Coturnix japonica: one gene and its partners. The protein of the gene in region 2 interacts with the protein of the main gene of each other region in a biochemical or structural test. Links are inferred from orthologs where the notes say so. Each region holds a gene or a part of one and is shown on either strand. Other genes may lie near its edges.

Region 1 (3,538 bases), on a different chromosome or scaffold from region 2:
TAACGCTGAAACACTTCTTTTTTAAGAATATTTCTAACTTGACTTTCTCACTCCATGTTAGTCTTAGAAATAAAAATAAATCACTCAATGCCCATAGCAGAATCAGTTTTAAGACTGGGGGAGTGAAAAGAAACCTGACTATTCATGTTGTTTGCACTTGGAACATCAGACATTCTGAACTTAAATTCAGACGATGGACTTGTAGAAGGCAAGACAAAAAGACTGTAAGTCTGTATGTAACTTCCAGTACGTTATTCTTACATGTGGAATTAAAATCATTCATCTCTTGAAAATTGTGCTTTATAAACAAATATCAAATTTCATTTATGAGTTCAGGTAAGGTTTTACTTACCCTTCTTGAGGATTTCTTTGCATTCAGGATTAATTGGTGGGGCATTTGGCTTAGACAGAGCATTGGATAGAACTTCCACTATGCACCTTGTTATCTAGGAGAAACAAAAATCAGACAACAAATTCTCACAGTGAAAACAGAAATCCTGCTTTTAACCTAGTCAGTAAGTGAAGCTAATTTAGGGTTAAAGCTCATGGTTAATGGTTATGAGCTTAGCACATACTTAAGAGTTTTGGGCAACCCTCAGCTCTACCAGTGCCTTTGGGTAAGAAGTGCTCTGCTCCTCACTCATCTATTAGTACAAGAACAGTAATTAGTTAGATCTGATGCACATATAGTTAACAGGCTCCTTTTCTATGTTTTTAAACATCCTGTTCTGTACAAAGGAGACTCAAACAACACAAAAACACCACCACAATACATCCAAAATATGAGGATCATCCAGTATGAGCTGCCCAAATGAGGACAAAACAAAGGTACTGCTTGGGCTCTGGGTAAACTAAAAAATACCTTTATAAGTGACATACTATACAAAAATATTTGAGGAGTTTACTCTGTGAAAATCTTGTCTTCTTGGATGGGTATGTGCTTTGTAGCACCACCTCTTTTTGTACTTTACATTTAAAATGGAGAGTCTGCTAAATGCTGAGGAAATATATTGAAAATGGCACAACCACCTTTACACCTAACTGCAAAAAAGCAAAGTAGTTCTTCTGTATAAATTCATCCAAAATGGTTTTCAAGTTTGGAGTTGTTGTTTGCGGGCAAGCACTCAGATCTTTGGATCCAAGACATTCCTCAGGTTGACAACCTGGGTAACTGGATGGGAGGAGACAAGAAAAATGTACGTATGGCTGATTTTCTTTTCCCTGCTTTTAATTATTTACAGCTGTTTGCTAATGTAAAAACCACACTATCAACCAGTGGAGAGATACTAAGGTCACATTAGAAATCCTGAGAGCAGCCAGTAGATTTAATCAAACAGGTTAAGAACCTCTTTCCAAGGAGCAAGCAAGGACTGCGTTAGAAAGGTCATTACATAACAACTGTAGACATTTTCCACCATTATACTTTACTCCTAATTTACCATTTCACTTTTTACAGTCTGATTACATGTACTATCAAGTAATACTTCATATGATTTTTTCAGGCAGCTGCAAAACGTAGAGTTTGACACAAGAAGCCAGCTTCTGTTTCCATCAAAGGCACTGATAGCTAAAGGACTTCTGAGCTTTTTCCCTTAGGAAAAAAAGAATAAACAACCTCCAAGAAAGATAAAACCAAAACCCAACGTTTCCCTGAGAGCTTAAAAAGAAAACAGGAGCCAGAATGCCAGGGAGCATGAGACTCATACTTAATGAAATTTGCTTTGACTTCAAGCTACTCACCATTTCTTCCATATGGTCTTTTTCCACTGGAACTGTGCTGACACCTGGAAGAAAAATAAATTATTATAGACTCATTAGTCCTAGCAGGACCATAAATATCACTGGCAGAAGTCCTCAGCACATTAAGGCTGCCTAAACTTTGGGCTGGAAGGGTAAGTAAACCAGACGCATTTTATCTTTTCTTCCTCAGAACGGGAAAGCAGTGCGGAGACTCACCCTAGAAGGAAAGAATCATAGAACAGCTTGGGTTGGAACAGATGCCAAAGGTGATCAAGTTCCAACACCCTGCCACAGGTAGGGCCACCAACATTTCTAGCACTAAAAGAATACAACCCAAATAACAGGAATAGAGCCTGACAGTAATGGGTATTCACGTAGATGTACCTGTTTGGTGGTGAAAGAAGAGGAAATAAAATCTGTTCCCAAACTGAGATGTATTTCACCTTCTGCAGGGGCTTAGTTTGCCCCACGACCATCTCCCCACCAAGAGACCACTTCAATGATGAAAAACAACTACTGGCTTAATCCTTCTGGAACAATCCTGTCTCTCACCTGGATTATTCCATTCACAAAGTGGTCCATTATAAGCTCAATAAATGAACTGAAAGTTAAATATCAGTGAAAAACAAACAAACAAACCTCCAGAAAGAAGCAGTACAACTCAATCATAAAGACACTTTGGGTAATTAACAGCTCCCCACACCACTTGTACTGCTGGTCCAATATATATGCCTTTGGAAAGAACCTGCTGTAAACAAAACCTTCAGGTTGCTTTACTTTTGCCATCACTGCTGCATTAACACAGAATTGTTAGAGTTGGAAGAGACCTGTGAAGGTCATGTAGACCAACTCCCCTGCAGTGCACAGGGACAGCTACAGCTCCATCGTGTTGCTCAGAGCCCCTCCAGCCTGACCGTAAATGTCTCCAGGGACAAGGCACCCACCACCTCTCTGGGTAACCTGTGCCAGTGCCTCATCACCCTTATTATAGAAAACACTTTCCTTATCTCCAGTCTAAACCTCCCTACTCTTGGCTTGAAACCACTCCCCTTTGTCCTATCACACGAGAGCCTGCTAAAGAGTCTGTCCTCTTCTTTTTTTCTTATTATGTCTCCAGCAGGTTAACGTGTTTGTCTGTGAGGCACTAACAAACTTTGTCAAGTCTTATCCACCTAGAGCTTTACTGAAGTTAAACAAGTCTGCCAGCCACACAAGAGTAGGTAAAGAAAAGAGTTATTGTATCACTGCTTTACAGACTTACTACACTTATTATAACCTCCATGCCCAGACACACAGTTTGGGATGCAGTTCTGGAGTTTTTAGAAGCATCCCCTTCTCTTCAATACTCCTCAAGGAGTATAGTACTGGACCCAATTAATAGAAAGATTATGGAGAACAGAAGCCAATTTACCTTACAGTAGGCAGTTTCAACTCCCAACCCCTGGGCCACATACAGCCCAGACCCTTCCCCACACTATCATGGTGGCAGATCTGCCATGCCAAGTAGCCTGGCCCCTCAGCACCAACCATCTGGGCTAAAACCAGGACACAGGGCTTGGACAAGTGGCAGCTCAAGCTACAGTAAATAAGTCCAAAGCTATGGTAAATAAGTCCACAGATTTTGATACATTGGCTAAACCTGTAAAAGCAAAAAATAATCATCAGTGGGGCTGCTCTGAAAGTAATGCCTCCTGCTTCATTATGTTGGTCCAGGATGTCAAAGGAGATTGTTTGGTGGCATGGCAATAGAGATGGAACCTTCCCACTAATATCCCATTGCATTTTGTTGCCACGTGAC
Region 2 (4,127 bases):
AGAGAAGCAAGTTGCCCCATTACCGTTCTGTGGCTCCATGTTGCTCTCTCTGGAAACAGCGGATTCCTCCGTCCCCACGCACCAGTACATTCTGGGTCTGAGTGGTGAGGATCCAACAGAGCAAACTTTCTGCAGCGCCTCCAACTGAGCGTGGTCAAAGCTGAACGTCAGCTAAATGCAGGGCAGAGCGGCCGCTACCAAATGCCGTCCTGATGGAGCATCGTTTACCCTGATTGGAAATCAACAGCAAAACAAATTAAATCATTCCGGTATTGATATTGCAAGCAGTGCATCCCCATGCACTCCAACACGGCTGAGAACATGCTGCTTTGAAGAAATACACTACACAAATATGAACGCAACGATTTTCATAATAGCTTCGTTAAGAGCGTAGCATGAATTAAGATGGGAAACAAACAACATCTCCTCTGCTGCTCCCAGTTTTCCTCCACCAAAGCAGCTGTGTCTGGGTGGAGGATATATGGGGTGGGCAAAGGGTCACAGTTGCAGCCCCACATTCCCCACAAGCCCTGTGAAGGCAGAGGGCTGAAACAATGAGACGCAGCTGGAAAAATCCTAAAGGCAACCTCAGAACCTTTCCCACCCACAATGACTGCAGCTCTGGTGTGAGAAGCTGGAAAACGCTGATGTCGACACTGAGAATCCTCTATAGAAAGAAGAGGGCTCAGAGAGACACAACAGCTTCCCTGCCCTCTTCTTTTAGTGAAGTCCAGTGCTCTCAAAACAGCTTCTTGAAGTGCATCCTGCATGCAAACCAAGCTTAGGAGCTCTCATGCTGGCTGCATATGGCTCAGGTGCCTTCCAGGGCATTTCTACCTTCTCACCTCTTCCAGTCTACACGCCTGTAACATTTTCTCCCTTTTTTTTTTCCCCCACACAAAACCCCTTTTCTTTATCCATAGAGATTAAAGGCTGACTTTGCAGTCGGTGCCCAGCTGACACCAGCGCTCCTTCATTTTCTGCTTTCAGTTTCAGTCTGCAAACGCATCTCAGATTCAACACAGCAACCTTTCTCACCTATTAGATCCCTATTAGATTTTCTCACGTCTGCTGTGCAGTGCCGAGGTTTGGACCAGAAGCTCTGACTGAACAAAATACACGACGCACCTCCTGGTTTGGTAAGCAGGGCCCAGGTGTGTGAGTGGCTTCCTGAGCTGGGGATGGGGTCACTGATCCACCACCACCACCCTAAAGCTGCCCGCTCCTTCCTCACTGCACACACAGCACTTTAACCACAAACCAAGTGTTAAAAAAAAGACCTCACTGAATGCTTCATCAGCTGTTTCCAGGCAAGGGTTTGAGTTTTAGGTGCACTTATGGCAAAACTCGGCTTCTGCTGATCCCTATTTTATGGTGCCTGGCAGTGGGATGCACAGCTCAGAGCTGGGCAATGGGCGAAGCCACATACTGCAGTTTGGTGCTTGGGAGCTTCTCAAAGATGGGAAAATTGATTTGGGTGATCACAAGAAAAGAGGGAAGGGCTGCATGGAGGCACCTGCACACCCACCCCACAGCTGAACCATTTTACAGCCCTAACTCCAAATGGACACAGGTGTGCAGACACAGCCCTGCATCACGGCCTCCATTCATCAGAATGCAGCCCCAGCACCTGGAAGGGGCTGAGTAAGGAAACTTTCACTTGGGGGTGTGAATATATGCTCTTCATATACAGCAAAAGGAAAAGCAATAGCACAATTTCAATCACTAGTTCCCTTTAGCTGCAGCTATGGCAGCGAGTGTTGAGCTGTCAGTGCGCCGCTGTATTTCCGTATTTCAGGGCCTCTGTGTCTATTAAAAACACCCCCACAGCGCTTCTACCTTAACCAAGACGTGCCCAGCTGTAACACGTGCAAATACCGCGTGTGGATTTGATGTAAGGAGAGAGAACGGTGCCGTGTGGGTCCACTGAGCTCCGCAAGAGCACGAGAGCACACAGCCGGGGGAGGGCTGCAATGCCATCACATGTATTCCCAGCCTCTCTCCTGGGACGCCGTCACCGCGTTTTGCTACGGTGCAGCCCCACGGGAAAAGCACGACGGAAAGGGAGAAGCGAAGGCGCTTCGTGCGTCCAACTGAGCAGGAAACGGGACCATCGATCCCAGCCAGCTCCCGTCTGCCGCCCCCCCCTCCGAGCACACGCAGCGCCCGCCGCCCCCTCTCGCTCCGCAACTTCGCTCCCAACTTTCTTTCTGAAGCTCGTTCCCCGCTTCTCTCCGCATTTTAAGTCCCCTCCCCCCCCCCATCCCCACCGCTTCCACCCGCCCCGCAGCCGGGGTTGCGCTGTGCCACGGGCAGCTGTTACCTCCTGCGTCCCGGGGCTGCCGGCTCTCCGGGGCCACCTCCTCCTCCTTCGCCCGCCTGGCTGTGCGGCGGGGGAGGCGGAGGGAGGAAGAAAGGAAAAGGAGCGGGGCAGCCGCGCGGCGCCTCCTCCACCACCGGCCCCGGCTGGGCCCGCCCGGGAGCCGCGGTCAGGGCGCGGTCGGAGCCGCGTCTCGCCTGGAACCCCGGCGGCTGCTCGGGGCGGTCCGGTCGGCAGCGCCTCTCAGCGCCCTTCCCCGCCGTGGGGCGCAGAGGGGACCGCGGGGCTGCCCCTGTGCCGGGCTCGTTCCCCACGTCCATCATTCGGTGTCCGCCCTCTCCCTCGGTTCGCCCTACTCGTGCTTACACCGCTTTAGTTTTGCGCGTTCTTATTCGGCAAACATTGGACGGCACAAGGGCCGCACCGCCATCTCTCAGCCGCGCGGGTGCTTCGCTGCTCGGATCCGTGCCCTGAAGCCCGGCCCAAGCCGAGCTCTGTTTTCTGAAGGCTGCTCCTTCCCCGGATCCCGGAGCTGCTCCTCCGGATAAACACAGCAGCATCGCCCCCTGCCTCCCGTCGGGCCGCAACCAACACGAGCGGTGCGCGCATCCCTGCCCACCGCAGCGCCCTGTACCGATATACGGCTGTATCATCCCCACCCCACGGACCTTGTGAAGGGAACGCGTTTCGGCGTGACTTATGTTATCCATAACGCTCCCTTCAACGACACAGGTCGTTCCCTGGACTTAAATCAAGAGATGGGGCTCTTGAGGATGGAAAAAGCCACACCCGTAGCTGCTGCTGCCTGAGGTTTGTTCTGCAGCGCTTTTCTCGCTGTGATTACGGAGTCACAGAGAAGCTGGATCCTCACAGGTGCTTTAAAGGGTGTTCAGACGGCCGTTAATCTGCATCTGGCTGCAGCCACCTGTTGGACACACTCTGCACTTTCTATCGCGTCTGCTGCCTTTTATGCCTCACGCTCTGGTTCTTAGACAGGCCCTTCTTATACTTTTCTTTTTGGCACCATTGTTTGGAATAAGAATAAAATCTCAGATCACAGTTTGTTTTGAGAGAGGCCACAATTTCCCTTAGCACGAATTTCTTCATCTTTTTTTTTTTCCTTTTCCAAATCTCATCCTGCTCTTCCTCCTGACTTTACTCATAACTCCATTGCTTACATCACTCTGTCCCTCTGTATCTCCGTGCTTCTCCCTTCTCACATTCGGCTGCAGAGCTCCCGAGTGATGCTGCTGCAGAGTGGAAAATGGATGGGATTTGGCTGTGTGTGTGTAGGGAGGTGGTGGCTGTTTGTATCTCTTCTCACCTGGTTTAGTGGTTGGTGACCCTGCCTGTGGCAGAGGGGTTGGAACTACATGATCTTTAAGGTCCTGTTCTACCCAGGCCATTCTATGCAAAGAGCGTTAAAAACGGTGCTATGTTCTTGCTCTGTCTCCTCTGCAGATAAAGGAGATAAGACAGGAATGTCTCATCATGGGGCAGTCATACAACAGTGGCTGTGTCTAAGAGGGTTTCACGAAGCCCCGTCTGGCAGCATGTTCTGCATGAAGCCTTAACCCCTTCCAGTGTGCAGGCAATAGAAGTTTCCCATTCCCATTCCTTCCTTGGAGCCACATCGATATGCAGCACACAGAAACTATTTCACAAAGTTCAACATTTATTAGGAACTATGACAAAAAAGATACCCATAGTCTAAAATATATACAAGAAGTTTAAACATAGCATTTTCATGTACCCTTGGCTATAAAAATACATTAGATTAACTGTATCCTAATTTATAAATATAGTT
Region 3 (4,268 bases), on a different chromosome or scaffold from region 2:
AAGAACCTCTCATGTATATTGTTATAATTACTCTTGGGAAGCAGGCACAGCCTCATAGCTGAAGATGTGGTGGCTGTGGAGGTCCCCATCTCAATTCCATCTCTGCCCATGCATGGCAGCAGCGATGCCCTTGCAGTGCTGGAAGCTCCCAAAGCACAGAGCAGCGGTCCCAACACCGTGCGTATGGCACAGGTTGGAGACGCAGAGCTCGGTGGCTGTGCAGATGGACCTGAGATGAGCTCCCAGCTCAGGTGGGCACTGCAAGAAATCTGCTGCAGGTGTGGAGGCTTCCTCGCACGCAGGGTGCTGCAGCTGCCCGCGCTGCTCTTCCCTCCCACAGCGCCAACAGCTGAGCTTCAATTGGAGGTCAGGTGAGGGCTGAGCAGCGCAGCCCCCTGCAGCACCAGCAGAATGCTGCCCTTCAGTGAACTAACAGCAGAACAACAGGCTGCTCAGTGGGGGCTCTGAGCCTCTTTGGACACACACAGGATCTGTCATTCTCTTCTAAGGATGATGAACAACACAGTAAAGAGTAAAACATTGTGTTGTTTATGAAAATACAATATGCAGTTTATTGATTTGTTGTTGCTGTTGTTGTTTATTGCCATGATTTGTCTTTTTTTTTTTTCCCCCAAGAGTCTATTTCACACACTATGTATAGAGCAGAGAAAAGTTGGTATCGCAGTATATGACCAAACAACCGCAGTTGTTTTTTTCTATAAAAGGAGGAGAATGGAGGACAGGCAAGATTCTGATCGATTCTGACAGTTCAGCAGAAGCACATTACAACTTGCAACAGAGCAGCATCAACTCTACAGAAGAAATCATGATAGCATTCCTTATTGCTGAAACAAAATGCCAATGCTACCGCAACCCATAGAATGCCTGCACCTTGCAATCCAAGATACCGTGGTGCATGTGTATGCGTATATATGCGTGTACTTGTAAACAGAGATTTTCCTTATAGCTTCTGTGTGCTTTTATGGAGAACTGGATCACTCTGTGGTTTGCCAGAAGTAGCCACGAGGCAGATTAATCCTGTTTGGTGATGCAAGGCTGCCTCATCGAGGATTTCTGATGCTCCAGCAACGTGATGGACTTCTCAGAATTCTCCAGGTTTCGGAGCAGAGTCTCTAACCTTCTTTTGATCTTCTTCTGATCCTCGATAGCGCATCCAATGACAACGGACTGAAATTTCTGATCAATGGGTCCTGCCGGCACATCAGACGTGCACGCGCCGTAAAGCGACATTAAGCGGATTTTGGCGTCTTCCAAATCATCCAGGAGCTTGTTGACGATTTCATCGATCATCTTGGTGGCGTGCAGGAGGGACTCCTGCTGCTGGGCGTTACGGATGGTTTCAACAGAAACCTCCACAGTGAGGGTTCGGCCCATCAGACGGTTGGCAGTCAGGTTAAGTTCTTCTCTCTCACCTAAAGCGAAAGCAGAAGGTATCCTGTGTTACTGACTAACACCTCCCAGTGCCTTTACATCACCAAGACAAGCAAAGTGCTACCGTGTGCCAACATGGATGTCTGTTGTTTCTTTTCTTTTTAAGAGGTGACAATCAGATTGATTTTCAGGGGCCAGAGGTTTTACATCTACGTGCCTGAGTCCCACCCATGTCACAGAGGCTGGTGTCTTCTGATCTGAAATTAGGCTGTAAGCTTTAAGAAAGGTATAAGCGATGTTTTTCCACTGCTGACACAGTGCTTGTTTTGTCACACTGCAGTAAAGCACCATATCAGGAAGCATTGATCATTACAAAAGCAGGCACGTGAGGGATGGACCCTCAATGCTGCTGTGAGAAAGAGTATAAATACACGGCACCTCGAAAGGCCACAGACAGAAGAGTTACTTTGCTTACCAGATGCAGTTAGAGGCCATTAGCAAAAAGGAAACGGGGACCCCAGAGGGAGGGAAGGCCCATCGGTATCCTCTGCCAGCTCCAGCATGGTGCCTTTAGCACTGGAGCAGCTCCCCTTGCTGGTCTGCTTTTAGGGCAGACAGGAGGGGATGGCAAAGCAGCTTCTCACCTTCACTGATGTGCCTCATGTCCTGGCTGTTCTGTATGTTGTGGATCATTTCTAGCAGGGTTTCTTTTTCTTGTTCCATAGCAGATGCTGCGTCACGGAAAGCCTCTACCCTGGGCGTAGTTAAACCAAACAAAGTCTTTCAATAATAAAACACATTTTCCCCCATAAAACTGCCAAGATCTTTCAATTAAACAAAAAAAAAAAAAAAAAAAAAAAAAAAATCAACAAAAGAGCCCCACTGCAAGTGCAGTCAGCTTGCAAGTATCTGTGCTCCAGACATTCTGACTCCATGACCCCCACCTACATAAAAACTTAATCTTTCAAGACACAAAATCATTCTAAAACTGAATACATGAGCCAATAGATAGAAAACAACCAGCTCCTTTGTAATGTGAGAAGAATGGGACAGACAGGCAAGGTGAGCATGTTTTGTTGCCTTTATGGGTAGTCCTGCCAAGCGCCTGCTTTCACGTCGCTGTGGTTTGTTTCTCTCCATAAAGATGCAGCAAACTGGCAGGAGGCTGTGACTCACAGAGGATGAAGCTCTGTTCTGGTCAGCTCCTATTTCTGGGCTTGCAGGAAAGCACGCAGTTGAGCTATCCTGAAATCAGACCCTTTCCCTGCACAACTCACTGTGCTGAACCTGACACGTGGCACACTGCTGCCAAGGGGTCAGGCACGGGGCAACACTGTGCCATGAGCTGTTCAGCCAGAGAGCTGCCCAGCTGTGTGCTGCTGCGTTGCCACTCTTCACCCACAACCCATGGCTTCTTCCCTGCCACGGCTTTTAGGAGAGGGCTTTTGCTCAGAGCAGTGTCACCTAGAGCAGCACAAGGGGAACAGCTGCCTAGGAGAGAAGGGGCAGGAGGGGCACCTTCCTGACTGCGCCTGCTGGGTGCTTGGAGAGATCCCAAGTCCAAGCAAAGCATCACATGAACCTGGCCAATGGCTTGGGATGCTTTCAACACAGCTCAGAGACCTTGATGCTGCAAACAGGCAGGGAATGCACCCGGCCTGGTATATTCATTAAGTCTGTCCAGAAAGCGAAAGCAAACCGAAGCACTGCTAACTCTCCAGTTCATTCTTCTTCCTTGCTTTATAGTGCTCTTCCGTGGTGGTGCTGGGAAAAGGGAGAAGGCAGGTGGGGCCAGGAACTCAGGGCCTTCAGTACCCACACGCCTCACGCACGCTGAGCTCAAGGAATGGCTCTGTTTGACGAAATCTTTAGGCTGAGTTCCCCAGTGAAACCACACGCTTCAGGCCCTCCCTTTCATGTTAATGTGAGGAGGAATGGGAAAAGTTAATGCAATGCAAATTCTTGCCAGGAGCAAATATTCTTAATTGTTATTTTGGATGGGTTAGTAAGAGTAATAAGGGCAGGTGGAGCCACTTCATACTTCAGATGTCAGCACTTTATAATTTAGGAAGTCTAGCAGAATTTTCATACGTGCCTCGCCGTGCCTTTAAAAAAAACCAGCACTGTCACCATTTGGAAAGTCCATTTTGGTCCCCAGAAAGCTGAAACAAGTGCAAAATTTCACTTTTAACAGCATTTTTACATCAACTCAAGTCTGGCACTGCCCTGACTCAAAAGCAAAGGTCTGCCCTCAGTGCGCAGGTTGACCCGTGGCTCTTACCAGCTCTGCGTCCAAGATCAAGCTACCAGTTCATGGCCTACAAAGCCAGACTGTCAGAGACAACGACTGTGTACCAAAAACAATGACCAATCACACCTTTGATTGACATAAGTTTATAACTAAATCAGCTGTGACAAACCTGCAGGGCGCCCAGCACTTGATCCCCAGCTGGCTCCCTGCACCACTGCTGAGGAAATGACAGAATGGCCCAGGTTGGAGGGGACTTCAAGGATCATGAAGCTCCATCCCCCCACCACAGGCAGGGCCACCAACCTCCCCATTTAACACTACAACAGGCTGCCCAGGGCTCCATCCAACCTGGCCCTGAACACCTCCAGGGATGGGGCATCCACAACCTCTCTGGGCAGCCTGTTCCAGCTCCTCACCACTCTCATAGTAAAGAACTTCCCCCGGACAGCCAGCCTAAATCTATCCTCCTTCAACTTAAAGCCATTTCCCCTTGTCCTGCAGTTATCTGCCCTTTCAAAGAGTTGACTCCCCTCCTGTTTATAGGCTCCACCCAGCAGCACCAGAGGGCCAGACCATGAGAACCTGTGAGCTTTCACTCAGAAACACGCAGGGCTGGGTTCTGGAG
Region 4 (3,538 bases), on a different chromosome or scaffold from region 2:
CCATGGCTCAGAGTTGGAGCCTCCCCATTTTATTGCAGCTGTCCATTGAGTGTAAAGCATTTGGGCTCAGCTGAATACACTAGAGAAATAGCACTGTGTATCGTATACAACTATATTAATGCTAAGAAAGTTAAAAACAAAATAGAAGTAGGTACTACTACTGACTCATCTACGAAGAGGCAGACTAAACAAACATTATTTCTATGAAAGTGGTTTGCTGGTCTCAGAGACTTTAAAACAGAGATACATTTTTAAAACAGAAGACTCATGCTTTTAAAACAAATATACTAACCTAAGGATATTTCTGCATCAAAGCTAAAGTATCTTAATAAAAAGCAAGTCTTTAGGAAAACTCTACTAGTTTAGTTTATATGTAAGTTCAACCAAAACTTTACAGCTGTGACCAACAGAAAATGCAAAACACTGTTCTAAAGTTCACAATATCAAGTTAGACACGCACAAGAAAGCTATTTAGCCAGTATTTCATGGCTATACCACTAATTTAAAGATTCATAAAGCATTCCGAAACAATAATACACAAAGACTGCATTTTTCATACCATGTGTCCCTCAGCACGAGCTTTGTTTTGCATGGCTTCCCTCTTCCGTTGCCAGAATTCTTCAACTTGCTTTGCTCTTTCTGCAGGTAACCATCCTTTCTGCCTGAATAATTGCAACACATATCAAGCTCTAAGCTTCTGAAATACAGTATTCATATTACCAGTGCATTTATCCTAACTGAGAAACAAATAAGAGATTTACCTTCATAAGTAACATATCTTCAGAAAAATGCCTTTTATCAGCCAAAATGCTGAAGTCAGACTTTAACAATACAGAGACAAACACACTCAACAACATAAAAAGTACAATTAAACTCTCCTCCCAAACAGTGTTGCTCTCTTGCACACTCTGTTCATAAAAAAAAGAATGTTGAACCATAATTTTAGTGGTTATTTCTGACAATTTCTCAGCTTGTCCCATTAGTAATCACATTTTGAAAAAAAAATAAGAAGACAAACACATTCCTTCGAGATTTTCCTTCGGAGACGGGCAAGAAGTCTCCATAAGCCATTCAGTAAGATATCCAACAGCCTAGCAAGTCTGATCTAGGCTTGGAGCAAGAGCTTCTACCACACAGATAACTGTCTCAATGGTGGCATTCCAATAGCATTTTGGTGGATTCATGGAGATTTTTGTTATTTTTCAAGTGATTCTGAAGGAGTTTTCCTGCCACAAAATTAACCACAACAGATATTTTCTGTTTGGACAGACAAGAAGGATGCATTCACATGTAACTGAGTATGTGGCAAGTCTACTAGCGCACACATATGATCACGTGCTAGAGGAAACTTTCTAAAAAAACTGGTTAAAAACAGACTGATGAGGGAGCTCTCTAAGGAAAAGAAGTTTAAAAAAAAAACCACAAAAAACAAAAAAAGTTCATGGACAGTGTTAGAAATGCTAACAAACCATAGAATGATGAGACAGTTCCCTTCCCAAGGCTCCCCCAGTCTCGTCTGACTGTAGAGTTGTACTAGCAGTCCAACAAAAGGCAGGAAGATAGCAGGAAAAGCAGACAGCAATAACCCATAAGGCGAAACAGTTAAAGAAAGAACATTTTGCCATACGGGAGCTACTGTCAGCAATTCATAAATAACTTAGCACACTCATAAAACACCTCTGAATCTTATTTTCTCCACTGTGCTACCCAGCTACAAATGAGGAAATAAAATGATATTTCCATATGCATAATTCAAGAAGAGAAAGAAAACTACTTTGATAGAACAAGTGCTGTAGTTGTTCTGGAAATGCAAAGCCGTCCACTGTGTTACTGGTAAAGAAAGAACCACTTGATAACTTCTTTATAAATCTATTTGACTCACTACATGATTTTAACTGTAGCTGTTCATTACACATGAACTCAACTGACAGACAAAGCCAATCAATATCACAAAGTTTAGCCCACAGTTTTGAATAAGTGCCCCCTGAGCAAAAAAATCAACAACAACAAAAAAACCAAAACAGCCCAAACCCAACACTCTTCAATTTAAACAATTTTTTTCAATAATGATTTTCCTAATCTAAGGCTGAGTAACCTTTAATAAGTAACCTTATTAAAATGCTTCAAAAAAATTTCTCCTGGTCAGCCCTACTGCCCAATTTTTAAAGACTACTGAAGTTGAGAACACTTCACTTTAGTTGGGGCAGCATAATCAGAGATACTGTAATTTGAAGATTTTTCAACTTTTAAAATATACAGTTTAAAACACAAAACTTCCATGATGTCTGTGTAACGCTGTAATGTGACAAGCAGGACAGCAGTAATAGCTATATAGCTATATAGTAGTCCAGATTATGATTAGAAAAAGAAAAATTATCTGTTTCGAAACTCTTGCATAGTAAGCTCATTGAGTGCTTCTGAGTTCATGGATTCAAGAAATACCGAATCAATTTCTCCTCAGGATCTCCGTGCTCTTCTTAATTCACAATGGTTCATCTCAAATCTGAACAGATTTAAAACAATCTTGGCTAAGTCAAGCAAAGTACCATTTAATACCATCAGATGTGTGAGGCAAGCAATACTATAACCTATGCTATGATTTCCTAACCAGGCAAGATTTGGAGATTGTAGCACTGTGTGCAAAAGACTGAGAATAATCAGAGGAGACTGAAATGACACATTTCAGTCATCCAGAAAAAATACACTGATCAATACACAGAAGCTAAAAGTGCTGAGAGCTTTCTAGATACTCTTCTATTCTTAAAAAAAAATAATAAATAAAAATGCTTAGATGGAGAAAAGGCAGTCAGGATGAGATGACAGGACAAGGAAGCGTCTTGGCATGTAACACAGAAATCAGAACTAGAAAAAAGCAGAGAAGGCAGTTCTACATAGACTATAACTGCATTAAGCCAGTCCTCTTAGCTTAAATCTAGCTTAGGTTGCTGGTAATCCATTATTTTTTCCCCTACTGGGAAAGCCAAGGTTTCCATTGGTTCTGAAAGTACTGTGGTCTGTGAGGGATCAACACACAAACAGACAGCACACTACCAATGGATAAAGATGATTCTCAGACACGTCCAACTACTAAATGGAACAAGATAGAACAAAATTCTAACATGTAGGGACAGATTTATGGATTATTTTAGTCCAACCTGTTTGCACTGGCTTGTTTAGACACCTCCTTCAACCTTTTCACTTTTTTCCTAATTGCATCAGCATCAGGTAAATGGTGATGACCTGCAGGCCCCTTAGGAACTCCTGGACGTATTCCAGGTGGAATTCCTCTGTAGATAAATACGTACAGCAACTTTCATTACTTTCATCTGAAGCAGACCATATACAACTTCACATGGAAGGTAGTCATACCTCTCAACAGCTTCTTGGCCTTGTACTTCTGCCCTCCATTTGGCTTGCCTCTCTTTAGTTACTTTGAAGGTTTCCTTTTGCATCTGGTCAAAAATAGCATGATAGTGCTCATACTGTCCTCTGAAAGAGGCAGGAAAATGACCAGCACCTCCTCCACCGCTATAATATG
Region 5 (4,068 bases), on a different chromosome or scaffold from region 2:
AGAGGGGAGCACAGCAGCCACAAAGGGAAGAACAAGGATGTTCCCACCTCCTGCTGTGGGAGGCACAAGGGCTTCCTTCTGGTGGGTGTCTCTGTGTGGTGCCTCAGGGGGAAGTGAAGCTACACAGATACCACAGGAGCCCCTGTTCTTTCTCCTACCAAGACTTTATTAAAGTCCTTTTTATTTTCTGTTTTTGGAAGTTCCTGGCCAGGAGCCTTCCTGTCCCTTTAATGCAGTGCCAATGTGTCTCAGCTAAAGTCCTGTCTAAGAGCCCCAGGGAGCAGCTGGCTCCTGACAGTGCGGGCAGCAACACCCAGCACCGGTGGAAAAACTGACATAGAAAGTGCATTTTTGAGAGATGGCTCCCAGAGGGGCCAGCCCTGATCCCAGCCACCACGTGCAGCCTGTGCCAACACAACTCTGCCTCCGTGCCCAATCCCAACCCTCACTGCTCCCTCTCCCACCCCGGAGTGCAAACTGTCCTGCACCCCATTGCCCCCGGCCTCACTCCAGAGGTTCCTTGATGAGACACTCCTTCAGGCTGGGCTGCTGCTGCAATGGCACCCCGGCCTCCTGCAGGCCCTGCAGCCGGGCCTCCGACTGCCGCTTATCCTTGCCCACTTTCCAGGCCAGGTGGACGTGAGCCTGGAGGAAAGGCCCAAGCAGCGGGTGGCTGTCCTGGGCCTCCAGCAGCTGCAGCGCCTGCTCACAGCAGCCGTGGGCTTCACCCAGCTGGTCCAGCTCCTGGTGGCAGACAACCAGCCCGGCCAGCGTCAGGAGGAAGCGGCCGGAGCCGCAGACCCCCAGGCGGTCCTGCAGGCGGTAGGCGTTGCTCCATGTGGCCAGAGCCTCGCGGTACATCCCGGTGCAGGTGAGGCGCTGGGCGGCACGCAGGTCCTGCAGGAAGAAGAACTCGAGGAACTCTGGGGAGCGGCGGATCTCGGCGATGGAGTGCAGGTGGGACAGGAACTGCTCGAAGGCTCGGCTCCGCTTGGCGATGGTCTCGGCCGTGAAGTTGCGCCGCAGCCTCTTCCTGGGGAAGGCGATGGCCGCCATGTCACAGCCAAAGCGGCCGCGCAGGCGGCGGTTCAGCCGCTCGAAGTCCGAGTAGCGGCGGGAGATGGAGGCGGGAGCTTTGTCCAACTGCCCGGAGCGGGTCAGGTAGATGGTGTAGAGCTGTGGGCAGGAACGGGGGTCGGCGGCTGCTGCGATGGGGGACGTGGCCCCCCCGGTGAGGCCGGGGCCGAACCGAGCGCACGGCAGCAAAGGAGCCTTGGGCCGGGCACACGCTGCGTGCCCAGGGCGGCGTTCACACGGCGGAGCCGCCGGCCGTAGTTACCTGAGGCTCATCTGAGCCGCGGCACCGTCGGGGCAGCACAGGGAGAGACACAGAGAAGTGAGCGCCCGCCCCAACCCCCACCCGCCGTCGCGGCCCCGTGGACGCACTCACCACGTACTTGGAGGAGCGCTCGCTGACCACGCTGGCGCTGGTGACCTCGAATTGCAGCCGCTGCGGCACGAGGCTGCTCCGCGACCGCCGCCAAAGCTCCTGCAGCTGCCGGCTCAACACGCTGCCGGGCCGCGCCGCCGGGCCCCACTCTGTGCGGGGAGAAGCGCTCAGCGGGCGCCCGGGGCGGCCATGGCAGCCATCCATCCATCCATCCATCCATCCATCCATCCATCCATCCATCCATCCATCCATCCATCCATCCATCCATCCATCCATCCACCCATCCATCCATCCCGGCACCTGCCTCCGTCCTGCGCAGCATCCCCCGCAGGCAGTTCCTCGCCGCCGTCCTCCTCCTCCTCTTCCTCCTCCTCCTCGTCCTCGTCCTCCTCGTGCCCGCTGAAGCTCAGGGTGCCGCTGAGTCTCGTGGACAGCCCCTCGGTGTCGTCCTCCAGCTCCGAGCTCTCGGGACAGTCCTCGGTCTCAGCGCCGTCGTGCGTCCGCTCCTCCCGGTTGCCGTCCGCGCCCAGCGCGTGCCGCAGGCGGTGCAGGATGCGGGCGGCCATCCCCGGCTGCAGCGACGGGTCAGCCCGGCCGCCCCAACACCGGGATGGGCACGGGGAGGGGGAGGAGCGGGGGCAGCGCGAGACCCCGCATCGGGACGGCCCCGCTCCCGGCCGGCTCCCTCCGGCCCCCCCGACCCGCGCCCACCCTCAACCCCGCTCCCCCCGCTCAGCCCCGCTGCCGCTGTGGGCGCTGCTCTCCGTACCGTACCGCGCTGTGCCGGGCCGCTCCGGGCGGTGCCGAGCGATGGCCGCTCCGCCGCTGCTCGTCCCGGGATCCTCCCTGCGCGGCTCCGCCTCCGCTGGGAACCCGGATCGCGGCGGGGCTGTCACGTCCCGGCACGGCGCAGCGCGGCTCGGCGCGGTCCGGCTCCGTCTGTGCACGCACAGCCCGTGACCGATCCCCGGGCACCGCTCCATGATGGTCCCCAACCTCCGGTGCCCCGGCACCCTGACACCTCGGTACCCCAACAGCGCAGCGCCCCAACACCGCCACATCCCGGCACCCGGCACCCTCAGCCGGCACCCTGCCATCCCCAGCCTCGCCACACGCTCCTGCTCCTGGGCTGCAGCCATGGCCGCTGCCTGGCACTCACCGCCCTTATTTAGCACCATCCCCGCTCTGTCCTCGCTGCTTTCTTGGGAATGTCTATTAATATCGAGGAATGGTCCAGCTGCTGCCATCACTCTGTCCTTGCTCCTTGCTGTGCTGTGCTGCCCCATCCATGGGGTGCCAGCAGAGCTGCCCCAGCAGAGGGTCCCGAGGGACCGACAGCCCTTCTGCAGCCACAAAACCCTTTTGGAGAGCTGCAGGCTGTGGGCCACTTGGCCAGCCAGACCCAGGGCCACGGACCTGGCAGAGCCGCAGCCTTTGAGGAGGCCACGGGCATCGTTCCCACTCCCCAAGTCACGGAGCAGCCGTGCCATTTCTGGTAGTGGCTGCCAGCAGAGTGGGAACCCACAGCAGTGCCAGGACCCACTGCAGGGCCACGCTCCTCACCCACCTGCAGCTCACAGTGATGGTCTGAGGGCTGCAGCTTCGCCTTGACCTCTCTAGGACAGAAAGGAGTGAAAGGAGGGACTGATGGTTTGGGCACAGCCAGAGTAACTGGGGTGCTGTGGGGTAAGGGATGGGACGTGGCCCCAGTGCTGCCTGCTTGTCCCAAGCCGCGGCACCTGGGTTAGCAGAGGTTCAGGCAGCACTACCCAGCCCTGTCCCTAATGCCTGGCATGGGGGAAGCCCAGTCCTGGTGTTGGGGATGCTGCTCTTTGGGGCTATTTTTAACCCCCTCCATGCTGAGCTGTCCTGGAACAAGGAGGTGTAGATGAAGGAGCCGCACTCCTGCCAAGATGCTGCGTCCCTCCCTGCAGGGCTTGAATTTCTATCCCGGCTTCAGACCCACGTTTAATCCCCTGCTCTTGGCCAATAACGCTTTGGCTAAATTAGGTAAAATGAGCCCGTTGCCAATGAGCGGGGCCGGATTTCCACCAGGGAGCTGATAGGCTGCTGGGGCTGGGGGCCAACGGCTGGGGGCACGGGGACACTACAAATTGGGGAGCCAGGGAGTGTGCGGGGGCTGCTGGTGCAGGAGGTGCTGACTCCCTGCAGGAAGAGAGCAGCAAAGATGGCGTCAATGGTAAGAGCTCCAGTGGTGCTGGGTTGAGCTGTGGTTGGGCCGGAGGTGTTGGGCACCGCGGTGTGGGGCTGCCAGGCACCTCTATGGGGCGATGGCAGAGGGATGATCCCTTCAGGCTGGCTATGGCAGGAGGTAGCATGGATGTAGGGGCAGTGGGATACGTTCCCCATGGCGTATGTCCCCCTATGGGATGTGTACCCCTATAAGATGTGCCCCAAAGAGGGAGTGTGCGGCTGGCTGGGGGTAATTAATGGGTGCATGGGGCGATCAGAGCTGGAGCTGGGCTGTGTGAAGGCGCTGAAAGCCGAGCGCTGGGTCATGCGACACCTCTGCGGCCCCAGACAGCCCGCGCCTCCAGGAGAAACTCGATCCAGGGCAAACAGGTGCCCGCTGAGCTCTGCTCCCTATAAGGGGAGTC
Region 6 (4,317 bases), on a different chromosome or scaffold from region 2:
TAAAACGACAACAGTATGTTTCATCAACAAACATATTCTCTCAATAAGTAACAGTGAGAGCTGCAGGAAAGAATATAAAGGAATAAGGAAGTCATCTCACTTACTTCCTGTAGGATATAGGTCCATACATATAATATGAATCCAGATAAGACACATAATTCTTTCCACTGAAATTTCAATCCTATTTTCACAGAATATATTTGTGTCTACATCTGCAAAAGTACAAAGTACTTTTTAGGAAGACAACTACTTAGAAGTAGTTCAAGTATGACCTTCAATAAATCCTAATTAATTGAGTCTGAAAGGGCACTTTGTTCTCAGTCTACTTACTACTACAGCAGCGTCCTTGAAAAGACAAGATCCATCACAGCTGATACAGCTCTTAGAAAATAAATACTCCGGCAGAGGAAGATCTGTAGGCATCTCTAAAACACCCTTACAGTTCAGTGCAGATGTTGTCAGTGACTGTTTATACTTTTTAAACCACTGGGATATAAACACCTCACTATAAACACCACCGAATTTTTGCTTTTTTTTTTCTCATTTTTTTGTATGTTTACTTTAGTGTTAAAAATGTTAACTTCCATAATAAGGAAAATAGCAACAGATGTTTAAGCTAAACAAAGACTGCTATAGTAGAGTACTCTGAGCAGCTTTTAACTTCTAAAGCAAAGATCTATTCAAATAACAATTAATGGAGAAAAGGGTGGAAAAGGAGATCTGGAAAGAATCACCCATTAAAATTAGGCATAATTCTAATGAATTGAAGTAGTGAGCCAAAGCTACAGTTTTTCTGCTTCAGTCAACAAAACACTCATGAACATGTACTACGTAAGCAGAATTTTAAGCAAACTTCATGGTCTTCATCAGAAGTTGTTATTTGACTCCAAACAAAGCACTGCTTACTACGAGAGAAACAAAAAGTTAAAGGATCCTTCAAGTTGTCTTTTCTTAATTAGTCCTCTAGCTATAATGGAGAAAACACAGGTAGGAAAGAACCAGAAAATTCAACTAGTCTTGCACTATCTCAGTTCTGGATTACTCAGTCCTGATATGAAAACTCAAACTTCTTTAAAACAGCTTTATTCAAGCAAGTTATCTCCATATTTGAGCAGGAAAGGAAAAGAAAGAACAACGACAACAAAAGAATCAAATATTAACAGTTCTATAAGAAACTCCTCCATTTCCCAAAGGAAGGAAATGTGTCCATTCTGATTTAATGGTAGAAAAGATGTTATTTTCCAAAGAGAAGCTCAGCTCTGGCCTAGTCCTTTTTTTGAACATATGAATAGGCATTTTCTATTCCTATGTGTACTCCTTATTGTTTCTTCCCTAACAACTACAGCAAGTTTATTTTCCAAATGAACACGGAAAATGTTCCTGCTGAATCAGAAGAAAGATTTCTGCAAGGCTTGTGTGTGGCTACAGCAAAAACAGTTCTACTGCCAAGCCGAATTAGCTCTGTGGTGCCTTTCTTTCCAGTCAAAGCCAAGCCATAACCACTTCTTCAAACTGCACGTAGATAAAACTCCACTAAGATTAAGAAACTTATTTTACTCTATTACCTCAGGCAACTTCAAAACAGGACTATTAATGCTTACAAAATGGAGAGCAAATGCCAACCTACATTAGCTGGAGACAACATAGGTAAAATTCAGAGTCCAGCAGAGAGAAAAAATTACATTTTCCAACTAGTTGTGTAATTCTTTCCACAGGGGACGGGAGCGTGGGGTGGTTCTTGGGAAAGGAGGGGTGTGCGCGATGGAGGAGGGGGAGGCATCTCGCAGCCAGGGCTTTCTCTGAGCTGTGCAGGAAATGAGAAGTCAAACAATGGGCTACTCTGTGCTCTGCAGCACGGCGCCTCTGTGAGCCCCACGGCTGTGCACTCAAACTCTTCATTGTTCGCGACCCAACTGCTGAATTGATGTAAAAATTATTTCGAGCTACACTGTATAAAAGCGTCTCCCCCACCTAAAAGCGGCGGTGCCCGACTGCTAGGTACGGTTACAAGCAGAAATGTAAATTAATACCTACACCCATATTACAAACTATTTCCTTCACAGCTGCAGACATTACCAACAAACAATCTGCCTGGCAGACACAGAAGCAACACAGTCCTTTAAACAAATCTAACGTGAAAAAGAAAAAAAAAAAAATGTCCTTCCCTTAAACAAAGCCGTATTAACAACCCAGACTGTGAGCTATCTTAAAACCAACCATAGAGATCTTCTTTCAGGAAGAAAATCCACGCTTACAAATAACATAAAACACACCCGACAAAAGAGCTTTGTGAAATGAAAGCGTTACCTTCGTAGCACAGAATGCCAATATTGTTGTTCATCTTGTCCAAGTATTGGTAGTTCAACAGGTCCATCTTCATAAATAGCATTTATTGGGCTAGCAAAAAAGACCAGCTTGTTTGCTTTCACCCAGATTCAGGGAGATGGAAGCCAGGCGAATGGTGCTGAGGACGCTCCCGGCCCCCGAAACTTCACTAGCACAAGGCCCAGCCTTCACTAATCAAAACAAAGTATATTAAAGAAAAGTTGGAAGGATTAAAACACACACGACCCCTTCCAAACTTTTACAAACTAAAAGTATATTGCGTCCTTCAGTACAAAGAAAACTGTCTGAAAACTTTTCAAGTCTTTCTCCAAAAAAAAAAAAAAAAAAAAAGAAAGAAAGAAAGAAAGAAAAAGCAAACAGAAACAAGGGAAATTTCCTAGGACAAAGACACACTAGTTCTCCTCACAGCCCGCTGCAAGTTAACTGCACTGACATGCAGGCTATGCTTGGTATGACTCGTATGTAAACCAGCTTCCTCTCTCTATCAGGCGGGGAGGACTGAGCATGCTCAGTGAATCCCTGGAGCTCTTCAAATGTCAGGGATATTTTCTGTACAAGATCAGGCTCTAAATGCACTAAGTGTTTGAAAGAAAGAGCAGGAGGAGGTGGAGAGCCTGCACAGAAGGGGCCTGTGCAGCAGGGGCCATGTCAGAGCCGCCCTGACAGGAAGCAGCGCTGCCACCGCGAGCGGGAAGCGAAGGCGGCACGGCTGCTGGGAGGCCTCCATGCGGGCAGCGGCCTGACTGCTGCACCACCACAGCACGGCGCAGCCATCTCTGAACAGTCCTTAGCTCTGTTCTTTTGCTGTATTTCCCAGCACGACCTCAGGCACTGCCATGTACTATTGCAGTGATATAAGAGTGGCAGAGCAGAACAGCAGCTGGTTAGGGAAACGTGACACTGATGGTTTACCTCTGTGCATAGGTACTGTGCGCTCACACGCACTGCTGCCAATCAGTTCGTCACTACATTTGATTCTTTTCAGGTATATTAGTTAACAGAAATTCTGTTTGGATCGTTAGCAATTGGTACAGCTCCACATGAAGTGCCGCAGATGATGGAGGTTTCCACAGCAGTTGGTCTCATCCCAGGATGCGGTCAGCCCTTCTGCAGTTCAAGCCTTGACCACAAAGGCTGGCGCTGCTTGTACAGATGTGTGTGACTCATCTGGAGAGGGCAGAACATCTGTATAGAGGAAGGCATGTGCTAACCTAGCAGGCATCGGCTTGAACTTCCCGTGGCTAATCAACACCTGAAGGCTGATTTGACAGAAACAGAGAAATAAACCCCGGAGAACTTTGTTCTAGGACAAACAATAAGGCTAATGGAGTCCTAATCTTGCCTCTACCTCTCTTTCCTCTTCAAATTGGATGGCAATTCTTCCCTGTCTTCCTGGGAAGGAGAATTCTAATGGTACACAGGAGAGCAGATAGTCAGTGAGAATCAGTAAGAAATTTTAATTTCCACTTTGGGAATCCTTCTGCTTTGTTACTGCACTACTGAGGCACTTTGCCACAGCATTTTGAAAAGTACTACTTAAACTACCAACTAGTCTGTTCCATCTGCCGTTCTTCACACGCTTCACTAATCTGAGATACCTTCCACTGAGCTGAAATCAATCAGTGCATCAACAGGTTAGATGTGGCATGCATAGTTATTAACATCACCCCAGGATAGTTCTTACTTCTTTTTCCATACACTGATAGTTGCTACCACAACTAGTGGTGTGCCATACTATCTCTATGTTATCTCTGATATTATCTCAAGTACTTCTCTTAGCATTGCACACACTTTTCTTCCATAAGGCAGATATATATCCAAAGCTGTATATAATGTATTTAGTACACTGGAACTTTTAACACAACAGCATCCCCTAGAGGTAACTGAAAATCCACATAACATCTTTCTGAATCACTGTAGACTTCACATCTAAGTAAATCAAATTTGACTCTAATTAGCCCACTTAAACAG
Region 7 (4,193 bases), on a different chromosome or scaffold from region 2:
TAGCCCTCCCCTTGGCTTATGGAGACATCCCAAAAATGCTTCTTGGGTCCCCCTGTCAGGCGGCTGTGGAAGCCCCACGAACACTTCTGCATGTGACTAAGTGTGCAGGAGCTGCATTCATGCTGTCCATCAGGCAGCTCCAAACGCAATGAATGTATGGCACTCACTGCTACTCATCTCGAACTCATTCTTTCCCTGCCGTGTGTCTGTACTTGAGTTACTGTTTCCCCATAGAGGAATACTGGGATACTTGATGGAACCGAAGGAAAGTGAAAATAGCTTGCTTTCTTTTATCAGTTCTATAGGGCAGTTGCTTACATTTTGCCTGTTAGAGTGTTGTGCATTTAACTGAAGTCTGAATTAGGCTAGGGAGGATTGCCCGTTTGATTTGTAGTTAATCTATGGCAGTTCTTGCCGTGTAAAATGACAGTTTACGCTGAGTGTCATTGGCCGCGTGCGTCCCCTTGCTCGTTCCAGGGCGTTTCAAAGTGTGAAGGCTGGGAACGAGCAGAGCGGTAGCTGCCGCTCGGTGCCTCGATGCCGCCGTTCGCATCTTCCAGCAGCGCGGCCGTGGCAGGGGAGAAGAAAACATCTTCCCGGCAGGTTGGAGCGCTCGGGGTGGAGAGATACTGCCTGGGGCCGGCTGTAGCCGAGGGGCTTTGCCGGCTGCTCCCGGCGGGGTCCTGCGGGCGGCCGGGGCCGCTGTGCGCCCGTCCTGGGGCTGTGCCGTGTCCGCCCGGCGCTGGCGAGCAGCGGCTTTCCGACCGCGTTTCTCAGCAAGCCGACCTGTTGTTGAAGGGTGGTTTTGTTTTGCCTTGATTTTTCTTTTCTATTTTTTTTTTTTCTTTTTCTTCCCGCTTGCGGTTTAAAAGCTGCGTTTGGCCGCCAAGCGGGATGCTCGCATTCCGGGTTACTTTGGTTGCCTGCCAGGTGGAGCTCATCTCGCTCAGCATCCTCCTAACAGCAAGCAAAAATTGCCTCCTCTCCCAAGGATTAATTATTCAAGGCGTTTAATGTGTTTGTGGGGGGTGGGGGGGGAGGGAGGCGTCCACTCGTATCCATCCTGGTGCCGCAGCGCCTGTCCCCGCTTTGTCTCGCACCTGGTGTGTTTGCGCGGCTCGCGGCTCTTCCTCCTTCGCAGCCTCCTCCTCCTCCTCCCTCCGGGGGGCGGCCGGAGGAAGCGGGCCCGGCTCTCCGCCGCGGCGGCCCCGTCCCGCCCCGCACCTCGCTGCCGCCCGCGGGGATGCTCGGGGCGGGGTCCCCTCCGCGGGGGCTCCTCGGGCGGGCGGGGCGGGGGCGGCCCGGCCGCCTGGCGGGCGCGGAGGAGGGGCCGGGGGCGGCCCGAGCCGGGCGGTGTCGGTCCGGGCAGCGCGGGGGGCTCGGCGGCGGGCGTGGTGCGGCGGGGAGCGGAGCGGCTTCGCCTCTCACTTGGGCTTCTCCTTGCAGAGCACCGGGGAGACGCTGAGGGGATCGGGAGCTTCTTCCCGCTTGCGTGGTCGGGTCCGGGAGGAGCGAGGGAAGGAGCCGGCTCACAGCATCCCAACGCGGTCTGCATCCCGGCTCAGCACGTCCCGCCTCGGGCATGGGTCGGCCCTGCTGAGAGCCCCGCTGCTGCCCGGAGCGCCGGTGGCCCAGGAAGATGCGCTCGGTGCGGGGGGCGGCCGGCCTCCTGCTGCTGTGCGGGGGTGAGTACCGGGCGGGATGCCCGCCCTCGGGAGCGGTGCGCGGCTGGTGGAGCCGTGCTCGGGCCGGCTCCGGAAACCTTTCCTCAAATTGAAACGAGATAGGAATAATCCAACCCTTTTTTTTCTTTGCTTTTTAAGACCGATAGCTAAGTTAGAACAGATGTGAGTTGCCTTGTTCTTTAAATTTATGATGTGAAGGAGAAGAATATTCAAGTATGTTCCTATGTAAGTTTTTCGGAGATGATGCCTTCTCTGATGTCCTTCTCCCTTTATGCTTTATGCACCATTAAATGAAATCGGGTTTGGATTGATAAGTGACGATGACCAGAAGATGAAAAGTTATTGGCTTGTAACTTAGACGATGCTGTCCACAGATGTGAACTTTCTAAAGCAAACAGAAAATGCATTATATCCCCGTTTCCTCCATATGGCGATGTTTGCCGATGCATTTCTGATGTTTACATACGTAAATCCAAGTTGTTGTTTGCTATAGAGAACGCGGAGCAGCCCTGCGCACTACAAATGTTCTGAAAAGGGGAAGCGTGAACGAGGCCAGCAGCTGGTCTAACAGTCAGGTGCAATGCAAATTCTGTACTCGGGATTCTCTCTAAAATGTCTAACGATGTGCTCCTTCCCGCTGTTGTTTCTAATTAATTACGGTAGTTCACAGCAGCTTAAACTGCCTTATGTGTGTCAAAGAGATGGCAAAGCCTCTATTTGGTATCTTTTTCTTTCACTGTGATGAAATACTTCAAGTCGCCCTTAGTCTTTTTCCACGTTATTCCATTATTCTTATGGCCTTCTGATCTTGGTAAATACTCCCTGGGATTCAAGCCTATGTTGCCTGCAAATAAAATAGGTAGCAAATGCCAAGTCTAAATACTCATTAAAAATAAATAAGTAAACAGAGCGGATTGTATTCCCAGCCATTTCACTGTCAGGAAGAATCAGCCAGACTTGGATTGCTATCGGATCATCTATCACACTGCTTCACTTTTCTTTTTGTGTTCATGGCAAATCCATTTCCTTTAATGTTTGTGGCAGAATTAAGAGAAATCCAGTTTAAACTCAGATCTTCAGTCTGAGGGGTTTGGTTTCTCTAATTAGAATAGCACACATTCGTTTGCTTGGAAAAGATTGCTGGTGATTTCACTGTAAGCTGGACAGATGAATTTATTCCTGTTCCTGCTGCGATGCCCCAGAACCCTGTTTGTACTGAACATAACAGATGCTTAGATCTTCCTTCTGAGCTGCTTTTCCTATGTCATCTTTTCTTTTGCTCTCATTTCAATGTATCCCTTTAACTGGACTGCCGTTTGATTCTATGTGTACTAAACTAGAGACTGGGAGCGGAGCTGTCTGTGCGTCTTATGTGTACCCCAGGCAGATATCTGTTCTGTAAGTGTCAGAAGTAAGCAGATGGATATTGGTTCAGCCAGAAACCTGTTGTTAAATATAACCACAAACTGTTAACTCTTGGATTTGTCCATACCTTGGAGGGGTTTTATAGGAGTTAATTTGAGTTGGATAGACTGCCAAGTTGGTTTTCTCAAAGTACCGTTTGCTCATGCTTGCAATTACAAATATTTGTTTACTCTCTCATCTTTGACTGGTGGAGCTTCATAGCTGATTCTCCTCACTTTTTACTAAAAACAAAGGGAAAAAAGGTTATATGTATTTAGGATCACTCTTTAGCATAATGGCATTCATAGTTATTTCAAGGAGTGAATTCTTAGCATGTTAGCAGTACTGTCTGGGTGTCTGTCGCTGGTGAACTACTGTTTGAAGTTTAGATGTGTGATATTAATTCTGATTATTGGAATAAAAGCTGAGTCCATAGCAGGGTGACTAAGGTGGGTTGTTCTGTCTTGGGAGCATTAGCAAAATTCCCAGGTACAAGGAATGCCTCTTTAGAAACAGAGATTGTGCGTGATGCCGCAGTGCTCCAGCGGGGTGAGGAATGCATCACTGGAACCTGAGTGGTCTGTGGTGGTATCTATCAATATCATGCTCTCTCTGGGCATTGTGAAGAATTATGGCTCTCAACTGGGTGCGTGGGTGTCCAGCTGGTTGTCTTGCCAGAGCTGTGGAGGTTGGTGGCCCTACCTGTGGTGTGGGGTTGGAGATTCATGATCCTTGAGGTCCCTTCCAACCCGGGCCATTCTGTGATTCTGTGAGTTGTTTTGGGCCACATTTAAACTATATGATATAGTTAATTTATATAAATAACAGAGCTTCTGTTTTTTGATATATTTTATTCCCACATTAAAAACAAAGAAGAGAGCAATAAAACTCTAAAAGTAGTGGGTTGGACACATACATGAGGATTTCCACCCAATGTGTGGTGATGCTCATGCACTCAGTCCCCCTTGGTACATCTTTAGTTTATCTAACCTGTCGCATTTTGGAAAACCTAAAGCTGCAGTAGTCCTTAAGACATACGCTCATAGATGACCCAAAGGTTTCTCAAGTGTGGACAAGACAGTATTTGTACGGATGAGCTGGATT

The links.
Region 1: the proteins of LRRK1 (region 2) and CHGB form a complex in vitro, tested with the Homo sapiens proteins (2 studies listed by BioGRID and IntAct, with this or other methods). The link is inferred for Coturnix japonica from reciprocal best matches to the Homo sapiens genes LRRK1 and CHGB.
Region 3: the proteins of LRRK1 (region 2) and BAG2 form a complex in vitro, tested with the Homo sapiens proteins (2 studies listed by BioGRID and IntAct, with this or other methods). The link is inferred for Coturnix japonica from reciprocal best matches to the Homo sapiens genes LRRK1 and BAG2.
Region 4: the proteins of LRRK1 (region 2) and NEK1 form a complex in vitro, tested with the Homo sapiens proteins (2 studies listed by BioGRID and IntAct, with this or other methods). The link is inferred for Coturnix japonica from reciprocal best matches to the Homo sapiens genes LRRK1 and NEK1.
Region 5: the proteins of LRRK1 (region 2) and SNX21 form a complex in vitro, tested with the Homo sapiens proteins (2 studies listed by BioGRID and IntAct, with this or other methods). The link is inferred for Coturnix japonica from reciprocal best matches to the Homo sapiens genes LRRK1 and SNX21.
Region 6: the proteins of LRRK1 (region 2) and VGLL4 form a complex in vitro, tested with the Homo sapiens proteins (2 studies listed by BioGRID and IntAct, with this or other methods). The link is inferred for Coturnix japonica from reciprocal best matches to the Homo sapiens genes LRRK1 and VGLL4.
Region 7: the proteins of LRRK1 (region 2) and RET form a complex in vitro, tested with the Homo sapiens proteins (2 studies listed by BioGRID and IntAct, with this or other methods). The link is inferred for Coturnix japonica from reciprocal best matches to the Homo sapiens genes LRRK1 and RET.

What each region holds. Positions count from the first base shown.
Region 1 is NC_029518.1:14,702,344-14,705,881, reverse strand, and holds part of CHGB (secretogranin-1), read right to left. Parts: intron 1,785-3,538; coding exon 1,741-1,784; intron 447-1,740; coding exon 353-446; intron 1-352. UniProt on the Homo sapiens protein: Secretogranin-1 is a neuroendocrine secretory granule protein, which may be the precursor for other biologically active peptides.
Region 2 is NC_029525.1:15,837,423-15,841,549, reverse strand, and holds the start of LRRK1 (leucine-rich repeat serine/threonine-protein kinase 1), read right to left. Parts: upstream 2,832-4,127; 5' UTR 2,687-2,831; intron 2,505-2,686; exon of another isoform or gene 2,324-2,504; intron 230-2,323; 5' UTR 91-229; coding exon 24-90; intron 1-23.
Region 3 is NC_029518.1:79,192,630-79,196,897, forward strand, and holds the end of BAG2 (BAG family molecular chaperone regulator 2), read right to left. Parts: intron 2,147-4,268; coding exon 2,037-2,146; intron 1,434-2,036; coding exon 1,033-1,433; 3' UTR 527-1,032; downstream 1-526. UniProt on the Homo sapiens protein: Co-chaperone for HSP70 and HSC70 chaperone proteins. Acts as a nucleotide-exchange factor (NEF) promoting the release of ADP from the HSP70 and HSC70 proteins thereby triggering client/substrate protein release.
Region 4 is NC_029519.1:22,234,551-22,238,088, reverse strand, and holds part of NEK1 (serine/threonine-protein kinase Nek1), read right to left. Parts: coding exon 3,370-3,538; intron 3,288-3,369; coding exon 3,156-3,287; intron 663-3,155; coding exon 560-662; intron 1-559. UniProt on the Homo sapiens protein: Phosphorylates serines and threonines, but also appears to possess tyrosine kinase activity. Involved in DNA damage checkpoint control and for proper DNA damage repair.
Region 5 is NC_029535.1:9,487,579-9,491,646, reverse strand, and holds SNX21 (sorting nexin-21), read right to left. Parts: upstream 2,817-4,068; 5' UTR 2,610-2,816; intron 2,390-2,609; 5' UTR 2,220-2,389; intron 2,133-2,219; exon of another isoform or gene 2,023-2,132; 5' UTR 2,017-2,022; coding exon 1,755-2,016; intron 1,600-1,754; coding exon 1,451-1,599; intron 1,177-1,450; coding exon 505-1,176; 3' UTR 142-504; downstream 1-141. Other genes in the region: TNNC2 (troponin C, skeletal muscle), read left to right, coding at 3,639-3,650. UniProt on the Homo sapiens protein: Binds to membranes enriched in phosphatidylinositol 3-phosphate (PtdIns(P3)) and phosphatidylinositol 4,5-bisphosphate. May be involved in several stages of intracellular trafficking.
Region 6 is NC_029527.1:2,993,427-2,997,743, forward strand, and holds the start of VGLL4 (transcription cofactor vestigial-like protein 4), read right to left. Parts: upstream 2,816-4,317; 5' UTR 2,390-2,815; coding exon 2,308-2,389; intron 1-2,307. UniProt on the Homo sapiens protein: May act as a specific coactivator for the mammalian TEFs.
Region 7 is NC_029521.1:3,953,474-3,957,666, reverse strand, and holds the start of RET (proto-oncogene tyrosine-protein kinase receptor Ret), read left to right. Parts: upstream 1-1,371; 5' UTR 1,372-1,639; coding exon 1,640-1,685; intron 1,686-4,193. UniProt on the Homo sapiens protein: Receptor tyrosine-protein kinase involved in numerous cellular mechanisms including cell proliferation, neuronal navigation, cell migration, and cell differentiation in response to glia cell line-derived growth family factors (GDNF, NRTN, ARTN, PSPN and GDF15).